Linked DNA regions of Rattus norvegicus. The protein of the gene in region 3 interacts with the protein of the main gene of each other region in a pairwise test. Links are inferred from orthologs where the notes say so. Each region holds a gene or a part of one and is shown on either strand. Other genes may lie near its edges.

Region 1 (5,982 bases), on a different chromosome or scaffold from region 3:
TAGTGCCCAAGGCCAGCTTCAAGCTTGTTTCTTTGTTATCCCAGCTAGGTCCAGGCAGTGAGGGAGCTGGCAAGCCATGTCGGATGACTTGTATCCCAGTCCCATTAATAGCCAGGACCCGAGGGAGCAGCAGTGCTCAGAGGGAAGGAAAGTGGACAGGACCACTTCCTGTCTCCTCCCCTCCAGTCCCGGGGCAGCCTCCACCTGGATACAGGAGTGCTTTCCCCCCCGGCCCCTGAGATCTGAGGGCTTGGTGGGCATCTCCTTCCCCTGGACCTCACAATACCCTGGAAAGTGACAGAAGGCTTGGACTGGCAGAGGGTACAGGCGGACCCCTGCCAGGGATCCCCCCATGTAGGGTTGGAGTGAAATAATGGGTTTCAGATTGCCCACTTTCTGGTGGTCCTGCTGTTCAAGGGTTAAATGGGCCATCTCATGCCACTGTGCTGTGGCTGTACCTCTTTATCCTCCCAGCTGGCACAAATCTGCAGTCAACCTCAAGCCTTGAGAGCTCATGGTGGGCTGTCCCCCAAGGTCCCACTCTTGTTCATGGGACTGTGACCCAGCCACCTGCGGGCACACAGGAGAAAAGGGTGTCATTTTAGGAGTGGTGGGAGGGAAAGTGGCCAGGTTGGACCTCCCAGGCCCCATCCCCCAAACCCCTTCGTCAACTTTAGGAAAGTGACTCAGCCTGGCCTGACTGGGGTTTCCATTAGTCAGCTTGATGACAATGGAGTTGCCTCATAGGAAGCCTACCCAGACCACACTAATGCTCACTGCACCTCGTTTAATCACGGAAAGATTAAAAGCCCAGAAAGAGCACTTTCCCGTGCCTGGCCGGGGACATCAGAGAGAACCCAGCCCAATTCCATCAGCTGTGTTGCCGGCTGTACAGGCTCCAAGTCGCATAAGAGCCCGGCTGGGTGAGCCTGGGGGCGCTATTCCGGCTAGGTTTCCACACCGGGCTGTCTGTCGCCCATTTCGGTCACTGCCTGGCCCTCCTTCCCTCTCCTGGAACACTCCCAGCCGGCAGGTTCACCTGCCAGGCCCCGGAAATTGCGCAAAAGCCAGCTACCTGAACCAGGTGGGCGGGAGGCGTGCAGGCTGCTGGAAGGAGGCGGCTTGCACAGCCAGGTATGTTGCGGTGCTTGGGGGTGAGGGGCACATCAGGGATTGTCTTCAGTCTGTATTCGAGCCGAGGGCCGACTCCTGCTCAGAGAGAGATAGCAGATGAGGGGAGGGGGGTCACACAGTCTTAGCTCAGCTCAAGCCTCACCGCCTGAGTCTCCAGGATTGCCTCCAAGTGAGGACGACTCGAAACCAAAACTAGGGGCTTTCCTGGAGCCCTGATCTACTTACTCCTTGGGAGCCTGAGGGAGGGACGAAGTCGGGCTACGGCACTGGAATAGTGACCAGAAAGGCTCAAGGTTGGTGCTTTTCGGACCATTTGCGGCAGCATTTGGAAGCCCGCGGTGAAAAGAGACCTCAAGGGAGACGTTAAATCTCATTTGGCGACCGGGATCTTAGTTTCCTCTTGGAGGGGCCCCTGTGACGTGTGTTGGTGCGGATCGGCTGGCTCATTGTGATTAGCTCTTACCAGCTGTCTCCTTTGTCCCTGCTGGGCTTAGGTCCTGCCCTCCAGGATCGGACTTAGAGACCCTCGGAGGGGGCGGAGTCTGCCAACTCCACAGTCAGAGCCTCAGTTTATGACAGTGCGTCTGGTTTCGGGAGCGCTGCCCATTTTTCAGGTGCTGCGAACCCGTTTGATCTTTCCAGCGGTGACCCGAAGGCACAGGGAGGTCTATTTTTAACTGGGTTTAATAGGTAGAGGAACAGTCTTTTAAGAGCTGCCTCTTGTGCGAGGTGCAAGGCTGGTGGGAGAACGGGGACCCTGGTGTCTACCAGACCAGGCTTGGGAACACAATCTGCCTCCCCCCCATTTCTTTGTAGTGTTAGGTGGTGGGTATAAAAGCAAGGTGCTGGTGGGGGGAGCTTCTGCCCTAGCCCTGCCCCTCTGACCTCCTTCCTCTTTCCCAGGTGATGTCGGGGAGGGAACTGCCTCAGCCACCACCAACGGGTTGGACTGGTTTGGGTGGCAGAGCAGATGTGGGGGCTAGGGAGGTGAGGCAGGATCTGGCTACCTGAACAGGACTCTTAACAGTTCTGCTGGCTAGACCTAAACCACTTAAGGTCAGTTGAGGGTCTGTTTGTGTGGGCCAGCCTTCTTTTTCTGCCCAACAACCTCTTAAGCCTTGGGAGAAGCCTTCCTCCTATCCCCCAAAACTTCCGTGGGGGCTGGGGAGAGCAGATAGATCTGTAGACATACTATGCTTGCCCTGTACTACTTGTCGTTTTAAAATGGTGATGGAATTTGCTCACAGTTAAAAACCTAGAGAAAGCTAGTCTTGGTTTGCTGGTGCTAGTGACACTCCACCCCTCACCCTGGACCTATCCGCCTGTGGTGGGCGGGGCCACTCTAGTTGACTGGTGTGCTGGTCCTCAGCTGACTCCCGTGAGCATTTTAGTTCAGGACACACTTGTGGAATATCTAGCATGTGTTGAGAGCCACATCATGAAGCTGAGACTCAGTGAACAAAGCAGCCAAAACCTGTGCCCTCGTGGAGCTGACATTTTTGGAGTTGGGGACAGCAAAGAAAGAAAGATTCATATCCACAGTAAGTTATATGGTACCAATGGATATAGTGAGACGAGATATAGGGTGTGTGTGTGTGTGTCTGTCTGTCTGTCTGTCTGTGTGGTACGTGGAGAAGTGATGTGGTAGGAATTAGTGTGTTCAAGCTAGGCTTCATGGGAGTCTGCTTTTTAAATCTCTGTGACCTAAGGAAGTCACTTCCCAGAGTCTCAGTTTTCCCAGCTACAAAATGGTAACAGTGGCTTTCAGGCTCTTGGAGGTGGTAGGAAAGTAGCTGTGAGCGTCTGGCACACAGGCACACAGTGGAGAGCGTTGTCTTGAGATGTCTGGCTGTTCCGGTGAGGCTCTTCTGTGTTTGGGCATGCTCTGGCCCAGTCTGTCTGGTATAGTACCACGTCCCATGTGACCATGGAGAACTTGAGGTATGGCTAGTGGCTGCTGAGTGATCTCAACTGCAGATGCCCTTGGTTTGGAATATGGGTTTTACCTTGTGCATATTTGAGGGGCCTTGGGTATGGGGAAACTGGCACTTTCTGACCCTCTTTCCTTGGAAACAGAGATGGCAGGGTTGACTTGCTGTAATGGTCTAACATCTGACTCTTAGATAACCATGGGGACACTTGAGCACCCAGACATGGGCCCTGCAGCCCATGAGCACTGTCATGGTGGTTGGTCAGCAGCATAACACTTGGTGGGGCTGTGACCTGGATAGGTCTTTGCACCGGCATAGCTTGGGGCTGATGTTTATGCCTGTCCACATGCCTGGATCTCCATGGGCTTGGCCTTGAAGCCATATCTTGGAAACTACCCTAATCTGGACTCTACGGGGTGGGGGTGGGGCCTTTCTGCCTCTCTCTCTCACAGCCTTTTGTTTTTGTGCCCCTTGTGGGCCTGGCATGTCCAGGCAGGTGGTTGGCACTGCGCAGCTTCCTGCCTGGGCTAGTTGCGGGATGTTGGTGGTATCTGGATCTCTGTGCAGTTCAGGTGGGATGTGGATGATGGTCATTCAACCCCAACTGCCCGGTCGCTAGTAGCCCCCTCTCTTGGAAGTAAGGGGTGGCTTAAGCAAACCCATTGCCCCTCGAGCTTCAGTTTCCCAACCCCTAAATGGAGCCATTGAGAGGACCCCCTTTTTTTTCTTTTCTTTTTTTCGGAGCTGGGGACCGAACCCAGGGCCTTGCACTTCCTAGGCAAGCGCTCTACCACTGAGCTAAATCCCCAACCGAGAGGACCCTTTTTAAAGTGGACCTGGCTTCTCTACCACTTTTCTCTCCCTCAGCTGTGCGGGTCCCGCCCACTATTGGAGGGAAATGCCGTGGGTGGGGCCATAGGCCTTCCCGGAGTACATTTTGCCTGGTGATTGGCTCTGTGAGAGGCAGGGGCGTGTCCTTTACCTTATAATAGCTCAGGCTTCGCCGCCAGTGAGCCTTTGTCTGAACGTGCTCAGCCTGTCTTCTTTCGTTGCTTGCAGCGGAGCCCCGTATCCAGCTGCCAACTTTGTGCCTGTATCTGTCTTCTCGCCTCTGCCCTCGGGGTATGTAACGGCCATGCCCGTGGACACGCTGAGCCCGGGAGCCCCCACCACTCCCGCTTTACCTTTTCGCCTGCGAACCAAGGTCCCCGGCTACCTGCTACCAAGGCCAGCAGATGGGGGAGCCAGGAAACCGAGTGCTGTGGAACGCCTGGAGGCTGATAAGGCTAAGTACGTCAAGAGCCTGCGCGTGGCCAACACCCGCCAAGAACCTGTGCAGCCCCCGCTCGCCAGGCAGCCCCTCTTCAGCCCAGGTTCTCGCGGCCCAGTGCTCACACCCAGTCGCCGAGTCCTGCCCTGTTCTGGTCGCCGGCCCCAACTGGACCTAGACATCCTTAGCAGCCTAATCAACCTGTGTGATAGTCCCGTGTCCCCATCTGAGGCCAACCGAACACCTGGACGGCCAGAAGGATCTGCCCACAAGGTCCCACCAGCCACCCCTCCTCGTCCGCCTCCTAGTACTGTCGCTGTGCGCCGAGTGGATGTTCGTCCCCTGCCTGCTTCACCAGCTCGCCCCTATCCATCACCTGGCGCCGCTACCACTTCCAGCCCGGGCCGGCCCCCTGGTCTGCAACGCTCCAAGTCGGACCTGAGTGAGCGCTTTTCCAGGGCAGCAGCCGATCTTGAGCGCTTTTTTAACTTCTGCGGCTTGGACCCAGAGGAAGCACGAGGATTGGGGGTGGCCCACCTGGCAAGGGCTAGCTCGGACATCGTGTCGCTAGCCGGGCCAAGTGCTGGACCTTGCAGCTCTGAAGGGGGCTGCTCACGCCGCAGCTCTGCTACAGTGGAAGAGCGGACCCTAGAGCGGGTCCCCTATGGGGTGTCTGTGATCGAGCGAAATGCCCGTGTGATCAAGTGGCTGTATGGGTTGCGGCAGGCACGCGACCCTCCCACCACAGAGGGCTAGGCCTCCTGGACTCAGGCCTCCTGGAAGGACATCATGAAGAGACAGTTGGCACTTTGTCCTTTCCTGTATCCATTGGCTGCCTTCCTGCAGACCCAGAGACCCTTGGGTGAATTTAGTGTAGAGGCCAAGACTTAGACCTAGACCAGCATCCTCTGGCAAGCAAGGACTGACCTGCAGAGGTTTGCTGTTGCCCTTGGCCTCCCCCACCCCCTAACAAGGTTTGTGACACAAGTATGCTTCTGCGTGGTTCCTCGGGTGAGACTGGATTTGGGCTGCTTACTCTCCACTGAGTTGGGAATCAATTGCTTTGCCAAGTCTGTCTGCCCCAGACCCTATTTCCTTCTTCCCTGTCTGTCCTCTTTTGCTGACTTCCTCTTCCTTACCCAAAGGGCCCTGGCTTCCTGGGAACTCACCCTGGGGAGGAGGTTGAAAGGATGGGGCCTGTCTGCTGCTCTTCCTGGTCTTTGGCAGTTGGCCTAGGTGGGTAGACTATAGGAGGGATTGGTTAGGAGCCTGACGCTCTGAATTATCTGTGGCTAATAAACACAAATGTTTGTTTCTCAAGGTCGGGAGCTTCGGACTCTTCTCTGTTCACAGGGGAAGAAGTGTGGGAAGTCTTGGGGTAGGGCCTTCAGAATGGAACGATTTTTGAACTAAGATCTGGTATGCAGGAGGTCAGTGACTCTTCTAAGGCAGTGCAGGCAGGCCACACCTGGGACCTCCCAGTAGCACATCCTCACCTTCTCCAGAAGCCTGCAGGCTCTTCTGTAGGTGAGGAGGCAGCCAGCCAGTGAGTGGAACCAGAGCTGAGAGTGGTTTCTTTCTGAAAGGAAGGGACTTTCAGAGAAAGGCATCCCCAGCCAAGGGATGCCCACAAGAGAAGACCCTGAC
Region 2 (5,982 bases), on a different chromosome or scaffold from region 3:
ATAACTCTATGATATCACAGGTATATTAATATACCATATGATAGTAACAATTTTACCAACAAAGAGACTCATAATAAGTAGCTAATATTTCAAACACAATGAAGTTTACTTTTAGAAAAGTAACAAATAAGTTGAGCATTTCTAGAACTTTTATTTAAAAAAGAAAAAGAAAAGAAAAAATAAAAATGAAGCTGGGGGTTGGGGGGTAGAGTGAGGGGGAGGAGTAGGAACGAGGCATGAGGCCTGGTGGACCATGTAAACAATGCAGCACGTAAGCTTAACGAGATGTGAAAAGGTAGAATCGTTCATCTAGCTGAGTCACTTTTTGGGTTTGTTTTGTTTTGTTTTGTTTTTGAATGAGAACACCTTTTAGCAACCTGTGGAAAAGTCCAGAATAGGTAAGCGCCATGCTGGGAAGTGGGGTAACATGTCTCGATGGGAGACGAAGGCCTGTCACTCATACGCCTGTGGAGAAGTGGGTTTCTCGAGTCATCAAACAGGACTTGGAAGATGCTGCTTATTTGCTAGAAGTGGGGCGTAAAGAGAAGGAGCAGAGGCCAACACCCTACTTTTGATTAGGCAATGGGTTGGGTTAGATGATGGAATCATGGACTAAGCCAGAGAGCTCTGAGTCAGGGACAGAGGAAGGTGACAAGCTCAATTTGATGTCTGAGGAGAGATGGGAATAAAAAGAAACGGGATATGTCAAAGAGGATGCTACAGTTGTGGTTTAGAAGGGAGTCAGCACTTAAGAATGTGCACGGAGGCTCCAGCAGGGGGCGCAGTGACTCACAGACGTGACCAGTGGACCTCTTTTCCTTCTCAGCATGGTCACTCAGGCCACTCGGAGAAAAGTAAAATAGGCGTCCCTTGCTGGTCGATGAAATAGCCAGCTATACAGCTTGACTTTCTTTTTTTAATTTTACTTTTCTTGAATATTTTATGTATTTACATTTCAAATGTTATCCCCTCCCCCTCCCATACCCCTCTTCCTGCTTCTCTAAGGATGCTCCCACTCCCACCCACCCACCCAACCTCAATGCCTGGCACTACCCTACATTGGGGAAACGAAACTTCACAGGACCAAGGGCTTTTCCTCACATTGATGGTGGACAGTGCCATCCTCTGCTGCATAGGCGGCTGGAGCCATGGGTCCCTCCATGTGTACTCATTGGTTGGTGGTTTAGTCCCTGAGAACTCTGATGGGGTCTGGTTGGTTGATGTTGTTCTTCCTATGGTGTTGCAAACTCCTTCAGCTCCTTCAGTCCTTTCTCTAACTCCTCCATTGGGGTCCCCTTGTTCAGTCCAACAGCTGAACTTTCTATACAACCCTAAACCATGCTACTGCAGGCTTATTCACAACGTAACCATCAAACACCACATGGCTTAAAGTAGCCCATTTAACCTTCTGAAACTTGGGATCTCTGTGTTGTTGTTTTGTCTTTTTATATAGATAGGGTGACTACCCCACCACCACAAACACACTTCAGAAAACACGATTTTCAAAAGGAATAGAGTCTGTGAAGGAACTCTGTAGATTCCCAAGATGCTATTTTATTAACTTAATATGTATGTATGAGGTGGTAAGACAGAGGTCTCTCTTCTTGCAAAGTCAAGAGGGATCGGGGCTAGAATCAGGGTCCTTGTGACTTCCTAGCTCGATGAAGACTCAGAGATCTCATTTCATCTTTCCATTATTTGATCAATAAATATAGGACAGGTTAGTGATTTTCTAAACAGCTGTATTTTAAAACTTGTAGTGAAATTATAGCTTATCCAAGATTATCTCACTAGTTGAAGCTAGGCCTACATCGTTTAAATTCAAATAGTCAATATTTTCCGACTGACTGTTCTGAAGTAAACATTTATCTTTCTTGTTCTCCTAGTAACTCTTTGTATCTGTCTTACAAATGGCTTGGAGACAGCAAGTGATTTGGCCAAAGTCAAACAACACATATTAACAAAGGCATCATGTCTCCATCATTGTTATAGAACCCAATTACTTAGATATTACTCTATCCCACTGTGCCCTCTTTTCTCCTGGGATGAAAAGTTCTACCTCTTCCTTCAGACAAATATGAAGGCAGAATCTGCCCATGAAAAACTTACTAATGGTCACTGCTTAGAACCAGAGAAGCAGTGTCTCCTGAAATCTTAATCCTGGGGATGACCAAGCAGGGATAAAGCCTAAGTGAGATCCAAGAACCAAAGGACAACTTCCAGTTTGTCCTCTTCAAAGGAGCCAGCACAAATGAACATGTGGCTTGTCTGAAACATTGTAGATGTGGAAAGGAGATTATCAGCAATGAAGTTACTCTCACACCCCTCTCAACAGGCATGGTCACTCTGTATGAGTCCAAGCCAGGACAGGAAAGAGTAGATGGCACATGCACGAGCAGGGGAAGAAGGACTATGCTGAAATTCTAGGGCACTACACTTCTTCAGCATGGCAGTGAGCAGTCACTGTGTAAACAGGTGAGTGTGGGGTGGGGACAGCCTGTTCATGGTGGCAGAGGTGAGGAGGAGATAAAACATAAGTGAATATGACTTTGTTTCCCCAACTTTCCCTTGCGCATCCCTGGTGGTACCTCTTGCAGTTTTTGATCTTCGTGGGTCATGGAGAGCAGCACTGTGCTATTGCGCACCACAGGGATTTCCTGCCAGAGGGAGCCACTGGAGGCCATGGAGAGGCGCTGTAGGTAGGAGTCTGAAGAGACCAGTGCCTTTCGCCGATATCGTGGGGAAGAGATCCCAGGTGGCTCGGCCAGGCTGTCTAGCCGCTGCTGGCTCTGAATCTCCTTGTTGAGAACAACATCACTATACTCCTGATAAAGCAGCTGAGCTATGGGTGAAGATGAATAAGAAAAGGAGAAAATCCTAAGAAAACGAAGTGAGTAGAAGCTCACTGCCAGACACTGCCATCTATGGCTGACCTCTAGCAACCCTTTTCTCTGTATACCACCATTCAATTGCTGGCAGTCGTGAGGCCCTGACCCATTTTAGGCAGAAAGCACACACTAGTCTATAGATCTGTTTTAAAGTACTCACAGGAGTTGATGAGCTTGGAGCAACGTCTTGAAAAACCTCCCATCCCCTCCTTTGGTTTCTTCTCCCTGTGGAATAGGCAGGCTTTGAGATATTTACTGACTGTGAGACAGCAGACCCCCAAGTGACTTTAGATTAAAAACTCTAACCTTCCATACACGTGCTGAAGGAAAGCTACTTCAGTCTGTCCCCATCACTGGTCCTTCCATTCAACCCTTCTCCCTTATCCCACAGTCCATGAGAGACCCTGAGGACTTGGCGAGAACTTAGAAATGCAGTAGGGTATCTCAAACAGTAACTCTACTTTGTAACTCAGGGGTCATTTGGATAGTATGTGAAGGAGACTGATGGATAACCATATGCCTTAGGAAGACAACAGGTAACTCATCAGACACAGCAGGCAGAACTGGGCAGGTACAAACGCCTTCCTTCCCTGCAATCCTGATGCCTCTTTCCTCCTCTCCTTACCTTCTGGACATAGAAGCACCAACAATTCTGGGTCCCAGAATCTTTGTCCACAGAATTCTTAGTAAGGAAATCTTAGTGTCATAAATGAAGACAGTACAGTTGAGTTAGCGAGAAGACAGGGCAACTCACCGGAAAACAACAGAATCTGAAGAGCCAGGAAGTCTCCCCGCAGCTGGATTTCGTAAATCTGAAAGGTGAAATGGGCAGCACAACAGGGACATTTAGAGTAGGTGAAAGGATGAACAGGAGACACAGCTAAGCAAAGGAAAGAGAGTTCTACTGGAATCTGAAAGAGAAGACAATACCAAAGATATTCTAAAGCCCAGTACCCAGTACCCATGCGTCACTGGTCCTCATGTCGGGATAGGAATTCCAGAAGATATATTAGCTATGCTCCCCAGTCTTCATGCAAGATAGGAAAAGCACAAAGAAAGGGCACTTTAAGATTTTCAAAGGGGAGAACGTGATGGTATAGCAATGGAGGGAGTCTAGCAACTTCAGGAAGAGGTGGACTTCAGGGGAAATAGGAGACGGAAAAGTAAAAAATGAGGGGGAACATTCTAATGGGATCATAGTGGGTCGTGAGTTTCTGAGTTGACTATGTGATGCAGGGGAATGACGCTGCAGAGAGAGCAGTAGAGATCCCTCAGATGGAAGATTTAGAATAAAAAGCTTTGTATAACATTAATGGTTCTGTTGTCTCTGCTCCTGACTTACCTGAAGAGCTCTCAGGCAAAATTGAAGGTCTACGAAGGCCCTGCCGGTTCCAGCCCTTTTGCTTGTTGGGTGCCTGGCCCAGGACAACCTGTTCACTGCTACTCTCTGATGTCCTTGCTGTATCCCGTCTGTGAGGCCAGCTGGATGCCTTTTCCAGTTGGTAGTGGATAGGTTTTTCTGACTTCTTTCTTGATCCTAAAGCTGATCTCCTTGTATTATTAAATTCCTCCTGAAGGGCTGGCCTCCTAAATGATCCTCTCACTGGAGGTGCAGACTCTTCAGTGAGCCCTGACTCATCCTTACTGGTGGGTATCTGAAGCTCTGGGCTCCAAGGAGTAGTAGGGGAAGAGGGACTTAGAAGGTTTGTCATGTTGCTGAAAGCCAGACCAGGGGACACTTCACTATTACACCTACTGGTGGGAGGCAAAGATTCTGTTGATCTGCCTGTGGCTGGGGGCCAGGAGGTCCGTCCAACAGAGAGAGTAGAAACTGTCCAATCTTGACCAGTAGTTCTTGGGTTGGCTTGACCCATTGAATGCATAACTCCTACCTGGACACTCCTGCTTCTTTCCCTGGACTTTGGGGGTAATGGGGGTGGTTCAGAGGAAGGATCTGTGATAGGGACTGGGGGTAGAGGCCTGTATATCCTTGAGATATTAGAGGAAGAGATGGATGAATGGCAGGGCTCAGGCATATCAGGAGTTGGGGGTAATGGTTTGTTGTATCTCAGCCTGGAGGGGATGGAGGTCTGAGTATGGTGGGAGCCTTCTGGGGTGGATGGCAGAGGGCGGTGCTGCCTTGCAACAACAGAGTCAGGAACTAGGGAAAATGAGCCTTTAGGAGACCTATGGAGCCCTGAACTTAGGGTCAATGGAGGAGGATGACTATGCCGCTTCAGTGTGGCAGCTACTTCATGAAAAAGGCCATCTCTTTCCACTATGTGACTGTAGCTATGTCTCTTCTCTGGGGGAGGAGGGGGCAAAGCTTCATGTATCATATCCATGGAAACAGTGGGTGGAGAAGAAACATTCACAGGAGAGCCTATGGCAAAGGCTGAGTTCTGTGGGGAGCCCCATGGTTGACTACCATGAGGATTGCTGGAACTCTCTGGATTTGACGTGAATTCTTCAGAGTCCTGTTTCAAAGCAAATAAAGCAGCAGAGGATTCTGAAAAGACGACACCATCCCTACTTCTTCTGTTTCTTCTTGGGATCAGAGAGCCATAGATGGCTGTTTTGGGGGGCCTCTGAGGTAATTCCAAATGAGAGAAAGAGAGTGACATTCCCATAGAGTCTGGAGTCTGCTCTGTCCTGTGAGAGCCTGGGAAGGAGTTGCTTCTTAGATGTTGGGTGACTCCAGTGTAGCTGGTAAGAGGGCTGTGAGGGTTGGCTGTGTCAGAGGTGGCACATGGGTCCCTGGTGGATTTTGCAGGTAGTGGAGGAGTCTCACATGGCCCATAATGAGGTGAAATGTCAGCTGAGATAGAAGCTGCTGGGGTCTCCTTCTCAGGAAGGATAACTGAAGAGCTAACAAGTGAAAAGGTGGCAGTGGTGGGGAAAACGTTGGGAGGAGTGAAAGGAGGTAAATCTGGTGTCCCCGAAGGGGCCACGGATATACTAGCAGACACATTCTCAGTCCCCTGATTGGATATTGTCCCCTTCCTTAGCTTGAATTCTTCTTGCTGGCTGTCGTGAGTCCTATTATCAAGGGCTTCTTCAGTAGCAAAAGAGGCAGGTGGAGAAATGTGCTGGT
Region 3 (6,564 bases):
TACTGCACCTGCTCCTGCACAGATTTTGTCCCCAAATCTTCCTAGATCTCTCTGGGCCCAGATACGCTTTCTAGAGCTTTGATATTGTGCCTGGAAGAAGGAAGGCTATTCGTAGTCTGTGCTACAAACTTTATTATTCTCAAGTCAACATTCTCGAGTTTGTTTGTTAGACAGGGTCTCGCTACAGAGTCTTGACTGGCCTGGAACTTGGAATAGACCCACCTGTCTCTGACTCTTGAGTGCAGGGGTTAAAGGCATGTGCTGCCATGTCCAGCTCTGGGCTACTTTTTACAGAATACTTTTCTTAGTTTTCTAAACTTCTCTTTGGCTTCACATATTTTGGCTTCTAATAGCGAGATACCTCAGGGCCAGGGAGACAGCTCAGTGGGTAAAGGTGCCTGTCGCCAAGCCTGACGACCTGAGGTTCAATCCCCGCCTTCCACAGAGTGGAGGGAGAAAACTTATTCCTCCCAACGTGAGCCATGGGGAGGCATAGCCACTTACACAGAACTAGCTATGCAGCACAGGCTGGCCTCGAACTCGTGACAATCCTGCTGCTTCAGCCTCCTGGATACTAGGATTACAGGAGTACACCACCACAGGTGGCAAGAAATTTGTGTTTTATTTGTTGGTTTGAGACAGGGTCAGAACAACATGCAATCTAGGCCCCAAGACAGAGAAATCCAGGCCTCTAGTCCCAAACAATAGCAAGTTTAGATGCTCAGAATAAAAGGAACCCTGAAGAGGACAATGGAAGGAGAAATTCTGGGGTGTTGGCTACTCAGTGAAGGAGCAGAAGACAGATGGGGCATACACACATGCTATGATGTCCTAACTTAGCCCAATCGTTGCCTTCAAATATGCTGTACCAAGAAACCTGGAGGCCTAATCTCAGTGAAGCTAAGATCCACTGAGGAGGTGGGAGAGGCAGCCTGGCAGTTGCTAGCACACGCTGCTCTTTCAGAGGGCTAGAGTCTGGTTCCCAATACCTACATAATCGCTCACAAACACCTACAACTCCAGCCCCAGGGCACCTAAGACACTCTTCTGGCTTCCATGGGCACCTGTATGCACAGGCATGTGCACACATATGGATGGCAAATAAATATTTAAAAACAATAGCCTGTATGGGGCTTGTGGTATAGGTCAGTGGCAGGATGCATGCACACAAGGCCCTGGTTAACCACAGCACCAGAGGAAGGAAGAGGGGGGAGGGGAATCTGTGCTCAACTCATTTCCTCACACTGTGATAAGGAGGGAGAACTCTTACTCTTCTACTTTAAAGATTTATGTTGTGTGTATGTATTTTGCCTGCATGCATGGTGTCCATGGGGGTCAGAAGGGGGCATCAGAGCCCCTGGAACTGGAGTTACAGATGGTTGCGAGCCACCACGTGGATGCTGGGAACTGGACTTGGGTTGGTTGGGAGAGCAACAAATGCTCTTGACCACCGAGTCCTCTCTTCAGCCCCAGACAGTTATCTTTTCCTCTTTTGAGACGGGTCTTACTCTACAGGTATACAGGTATACTTGCTACATAGAGCAGGCTAGCCTCCAGCCTGTGGTGCTCCTTCCTCGCTGGATCCCAGGCTGGCTCCTGGCAAGAAGTGTATTCCTGGTGTTCCCATCACAGATTGCCCACCAGGAGAGCCAGCTCTGAGGAATCCAGGTTACTTCATCTGTGAGGTCCGGTGTCTGTACATGTGAGTTCTGTTCCTTCATTCTCCCTGACCTCTGATGCAGTCATAAACTACTCAGACCTCTACCAAGACACAGAGCCAGGAGGCAAGCCTAGGAACTTATAAAGGACTCTGGTTTATTTATTTAGTTAGTTGGTTAGTTAGTTAGTTGGTTAGTTAGTCAGTCAGTTGGTTAGTTAGTTGGTTAGTTAGTTAGTCAGTTGGTTGGTTAGTTGGTTGGTTGGTTAGTTAGTTGATTAGTTAGTTGGTTAGTTAGTTAGTTGGTTAGTTAGTTAGTTGGTTAGTTAGTTGGCTAGACAGCGTCTTATGCAGCCCAAGCCAGCCTTAACCTCCCAAGGGCTGGGTTTGCAGCCGTGCTCAGCTCTTCTGTTTTTGCGTTGGAGATGTGTAGATAAAATAGTGCTGTGACTTCACCTAGTTATGCTTGGCCTCATGACCACAGACACCCAGGCATTTCTGGGAAGTACAATTTTGTTTCTGCCGTCTGTCTGTCTGTCTGTCTGTCTGTCTGTAAGTCGCCTGGATACCATTTATCTCCTACTAGGTCAGGAAGGATCACCGGTGTGAAACTGGAGAGAATGTTCCTGCTGTGGCCCACTGTGTCTTATCAGACCCCTCAGGGACAGAGGGCTCTGCCTCAAATACACACAGTTCTGTTGGTATGGAAGGATTTCTCACCGGTTTACCAACAATTTTTTTTTTTTTTTTTGGTTCTTTTTTTCGGAGCTGGGGACTGAACCCAGGGCCTTGTGCTTGCTAGGTAAGCGCTCTACCACTGAGCTAAATCCCCAGCCCCAACAATTTTTAATTTTAGTTTTCTCTTTCTTATTTACTTTTTGAAACGGTCTTGTTTTGTTGCCCAAGTTGGATCAGAATTCACTATGTAAATAAGGTGACACTTGCTAGCATGGCAGCGATGTCTCTAATCCCAGTACGAGAGAGGCAGAGGCAAGAGGATCTTCTGTGAGTTCAAGGTCAGCCCGGTTTGAATAGTGAGCTTCAGGACAGCCGCCAGGGTTACAGAGACCCTGACTCAGAAACAAAACCAAACAATGACAATCCCCTTGTTTTAGCCTCCCAAGTGCTCGAATTACAGGCATACATACACCACCACACCAGGTTATTGTTTAAAGTGTGTGTGTGTGTGTGTGTGTGTGTGTGTGTGTGTGCGCCTGTCTGTCTGTGTTCATATAAGTGAAGGTCAGAGGTCAACTTTTGTGAGTCAGTTCTCTCTTTCCATCATTTATGTTTTGGGAATCAAACTCAAGTTGAGGTCTGGTAGCCACACTAGCTAACACACACACACACACACACACACACACACACACAGAGAGAGAGAGAGAGAGAGAGAGAGAGAGAAAGATCTCAATATATCCTTGATCTTTTCTCCAGAGTTTGTTTAAAAAAATTTATCTCTCTCTCTCATATGTGTGTGTGTTTGTATATGTATATGTATATACATATACATATAAAAGCCTCAAAATGAATGAAATCTAGTCCAAGCTCCCACTAAGCCCATGCGAGACCATCGATCTTCCTTTCCAGTTTCTGCTGTGCTGGGTGGACCCCACTTTCTAGTTGCTGTAGACACAGGTTATGCTTACCAGCCTCAGGGTAGCTGCTGACTCATGCTGACTCTGGGACCTTACTCTGGGACCTTACTCTGGGACCCTCAACTCTCCTGCCTCTCAGCCAGGGCAGTTTCACCGGCTCCCAGGGGTGGGCTCTCCCCCACCATCCGCCACCTGTCCCCCACCTGTCCCCCACCGTCCCCCACCGACCCCCACCATCCCCCACCTGTCCCCCACCATCCCCCACCTGTCCCCCACCATCCCCCACCTGTCCCCCACCACCCCCCACCTGTCCCCCACCATCCCCCACCTGTCCCCCACCTGTCCCCCACCGACTCCCACCGTCCCCCACCGTCCCCCACCATCCCCCACTTGTCCCCCACCTGTCCCCCACCTGTCCCCCACCGACCCCCACCTGTCCCCCACCATCCCCCACCTGTCCCCCACCTGTCCCCCACCGACCCCCACCTGTCCCCCACCGTCCCCCACCTGTCCCAGCCCACCTGGAAGACGTCGTTGGCACACTTGCGGCACAGGTTGTGTTGGCACGGCAAGATCACCACGGGCTTGGAGAACATCTCCAGGCAGATGGGGCAGATGAGCTGCTTCTCCAGGTTGTCCATGTTGTGTGCATCCCCCAGCAGCGGCTTGAAACCCACCGTGAAGTTCATCCCGCGGTGCTCTGGTGCCTTGCTGTGGCCCTGTTGCTGGCCTTCTCTCCCCCTGCCTGCGCGCCCTTCCGCTGTCAGTTTAGGCTGACTGTAGATTCTTGGGATCCCTGATATTGCTCCCTCTGGAAAGAGCGGTGCTTCCTGTCCCTTCCTCTAACAGCTCCTCTCTCCCTGGGCTATTTCCAGACACTCTGTCTGCTCGGAACCCTCACCAGGCACTTGTAGTTTATCTCTCTCTCCCTGTGAGATTCTCCTCCTGTCTCCCCAAACCACCCTCTTGCTCGCTCTGCGGGCAGCACTGTTTGTTCCTCCCGAGAGAGACTAATGTTACTGTGGGGGTGGGGACACAGGGGCACCGCTGTGACATTCCAGTTCCCAATTTAGCTCATGTAAGGCGAGACACAGCTGTCCCAGACTGAGTGGCCATGACTGTCAGGAATGGGTGGCCAGTGGCGTGTGGGGCTCTATCGCTGTCACTGAAAAGGCTCCTCCGAACACTGGTCTCCGTGCTCTGGCTTGGGACCTTCTTCCAAACAGAAACGCAGTGTAAACTAGCCTGTGGGAGAGGTGCCATACCTGGGCCCAGGTGGGGGGCAAGACCTGGACAGACCTGTAGACTGCGTCATCGCTTCCTCTACAGGCTTAGCCAGTGACCCGGCCCTCCTCCATGATTCAGAAGTGGAACGGCAGACCAGAGAGAGAGAGAGAGAACATCTTGTTCCATATGTCTGCCCCGTATTTGTTCTTGCCCAGCCTTTATATAAAAAAGCAACCCTACACTTATTTACTTAGGGGGAATGGTGGGTGCAACCTGGAGCACAAGTGGAAGTCACAGGACAAAAGAAAATTCTTTTTCTGCAGCATGTGCCAGAAATCCAACTCAGGTCCTCAGAACTGGTGACAAGTGGCTTTCCCCAGAGAACAATCTCTTCCTTCTCCCTTATTAAAGACAGGTTCTTGAGTAGGACAGGCTAGCTTTGAACTCATTCTCGCCATGGATGACCTTGAACTCCTGATCCTCTTGCCTCTACATCCGATGTGCTGGGTTGAGGGGAAAGCACCATTATCCCCATTTATGTGGTGCTGGGGGTCAACTCGGGGTCTCAAGCATGCTGGAGAAGCATTCTGCTAACTGGGCTACGTCACCAGCCCTTGGCTCGCCCTTGTGGCATCATCCTAGGAGAGCAGCTCAAAGGCAAGAGGTGGCTGCTGTACCAGGCCCAGACCTGCCTTAGGATTATGACGTGAGAGCGTGTGATTCTGGTCCACAACTACATTAGTCCATTGCAAGGATGCTAAATTTGCTTAAACCTGAAACAAGCATAGACTGGTGATGCCTCAGTGACCGGGAGAGCCTGCTGTTCAATCATGAGGACTGGAGTTCAAATCCCAGCACTCATACCCATCTGTAATAGTAACTCCAAGAGACTCAGCGCCCTTCATGGGCTCACAGACACGTGCACATAGACATTTACACGGACACATGCATGCAGATGCTCACACAGACACACATAAAGAAAAAGAAAAAAAAAGTTTTGAGAAATGGATCTGACTGGAAAAATTCTGCATCTTGGAAAGTTATTTGTACCCAAGCGAATCGCTCTGCAGAGAGGTCATAGGACACTGCCAAAGCCACCACCATCAGGCTCTGGGCATCATTGACTCCCAGCTCCACAGTGACCACAGTACTCACCATGCCAGCCTCATCCCAGGCATGAGAGCTAGTCATTGGTCTCTTTCTATCCCACACACACCGGAATTGGACAAAGCTTTTTTTTTTTTATTATTGATATTCTTTAGCCTTTCTCCCAGTGAGTACAGAGAGGTTTGACGGTTCGTTCCTAGGCTGTGACCCCACATGGGTAAGAAAGAAAAGATAAGGAGGGATACAGAGAGGATGCCAAGCACAGAGGGGCTAAATGACATATCCTGCGAGGTCTGTCCCCGTCACATTTCATGTCCCTGTGCTAAGAACAAGAGATAAGAGGATCGCCCTGCGTGAAGTATCGTGAAGGACAGAGGCAGCAGGACTGGAGCATGGGCTGCAGCCCGTCCACAGGACCACAGCCAAAGTCCAAGGGGAAGCCACAAACACAAATTTCCCAAGCTGTCTTACGAGTGGGATGTCAATGCCAGGGGTGTAGGTGCCAGAAGATGGTGAGACCAGCCTTCCAAAGGTGTTGCAAAGAAATGAGGCTGGTGCTAAAAGGTATGCAGTGTTCCAACAAAGGAGAATCAATTGGTCCAACAGCTCTTGGGATGGGAGCCACCTTGTTTGGTGATCAGGATCTTGGTGGAGTTACTGGTAAGTGCTCATGGGCCTACCCAACACTGACCCAGGCACCCACTGGAGAGAGCTGCACACACTCAGCCAACAGTTGCCAACACAGCTTGAGGGCTCATGTGGATAAAGACAGGAGTGAAGCTAAAAAGAAGAGCAGCCAGAAGGTTCTGTGGGGACAGGTTCTGTGGCACTGTGGAGGGCAGAGTTGTCCTTACGAGGATGTCATCATAGCTTCTGAAGCAGGGGTTGTTTTTTAAGAACAGGAGTCAAATCTGGGTCAGTGTCAGGACAGGGCTACCTGCTTCTCTCTTCAATGTATCCAATGGGCTGAGTGTCAAG

Evidence for each region.
Region 1: the proteins of Trim54 (region 3) and Fam110a interact in binary tests that used the Homo sapiens proteins (3 or more experiments, as listed by UniProt). The two-hybrid records come from large-scale screens. The link is inferred for Rattus norvegicus from reciprocal best matches to the Homo sapiens genes TRIM54 and FAM110A.
Region 2: the proteins of Trim54 (region 3) and Arhgef5 interact in binary tests that used the Homo sapiens proteins (3 or more experiments, as listed by UniProt). The two-hybrid records come from large-scale screens. The link is inferred for Rattus norvegicus from reciprocal best matches to the Homo sapiens genes TRIM54 and ARHGEF5.

Annotation. Positions count from the first base shown.
Region 1 is NC_086021.1:160,934,488-160,940,469, reverse strand, and holds the end of Fam110a (protein FAM110A), read left to right. Parts: intron 1-458; exon of another isoform or gene 459-724; coding exon of another isoform or gene 725-1,134; exon of another isoform or gene 1,135-1,497; intron 1,498-1,614; exon of another isoform or gene 1,615-1,748; intron 1,749-2,503; exon of another isoform or gene 2,504-2,675; intron 2,676-2,762; exon of another isoform or gene 2,763-3,061; coding exon of another isoform or gene 3,062-3,075; intron 3,076-4,124; coding exon of another isoform or gene 4,125-4,200; coding exon 4,201-5,091; 3' UTR 5,092-5,655; downstream 5,656-5,982.
Region 2 is NC_086022.1:73,095,676-73,101,657, reverse strand, and holds part of Arhgef5 (Rho guanine nucleotide exchange factor 5), read right to left. Parts: coding exon 4,231-5,982; intron 3,701-4,230; coding exon 3,643-3,700; intron 3,114-3,642; coding exon 3,049-3,113; intron 2,843-3,048; coding exon 2,589-2,842; intron 1-2,588. UniProt on the Homo sapiens protein: Guanine nucleotide exchange factor which activates Rho GTPases. Strongly activates RHOA. Also strongly activates RHOB, weakly activates RHOC and RHOG and shows no effect on RHOD, RHOV, RHOQ or RAC1.
Region 3 is NC_086024.1:30,974,351-30,980,914, forward strand, and holds the start of Trim54 (tripartite motif-containing protein 54), read right to left. Parts: upstream 4,126-6,564; 5' UTR 3,942-4,125; coding exon 3,774-3,941; intron 1-3,773. Other genes in the region: Dnajc5g (dnaJ homolog subfamily C member 5G), read right to left, coding at 6,520-6,564. UniProt on the Homo sapiens protein: May bind and stabilize microtubules during myotubes formation.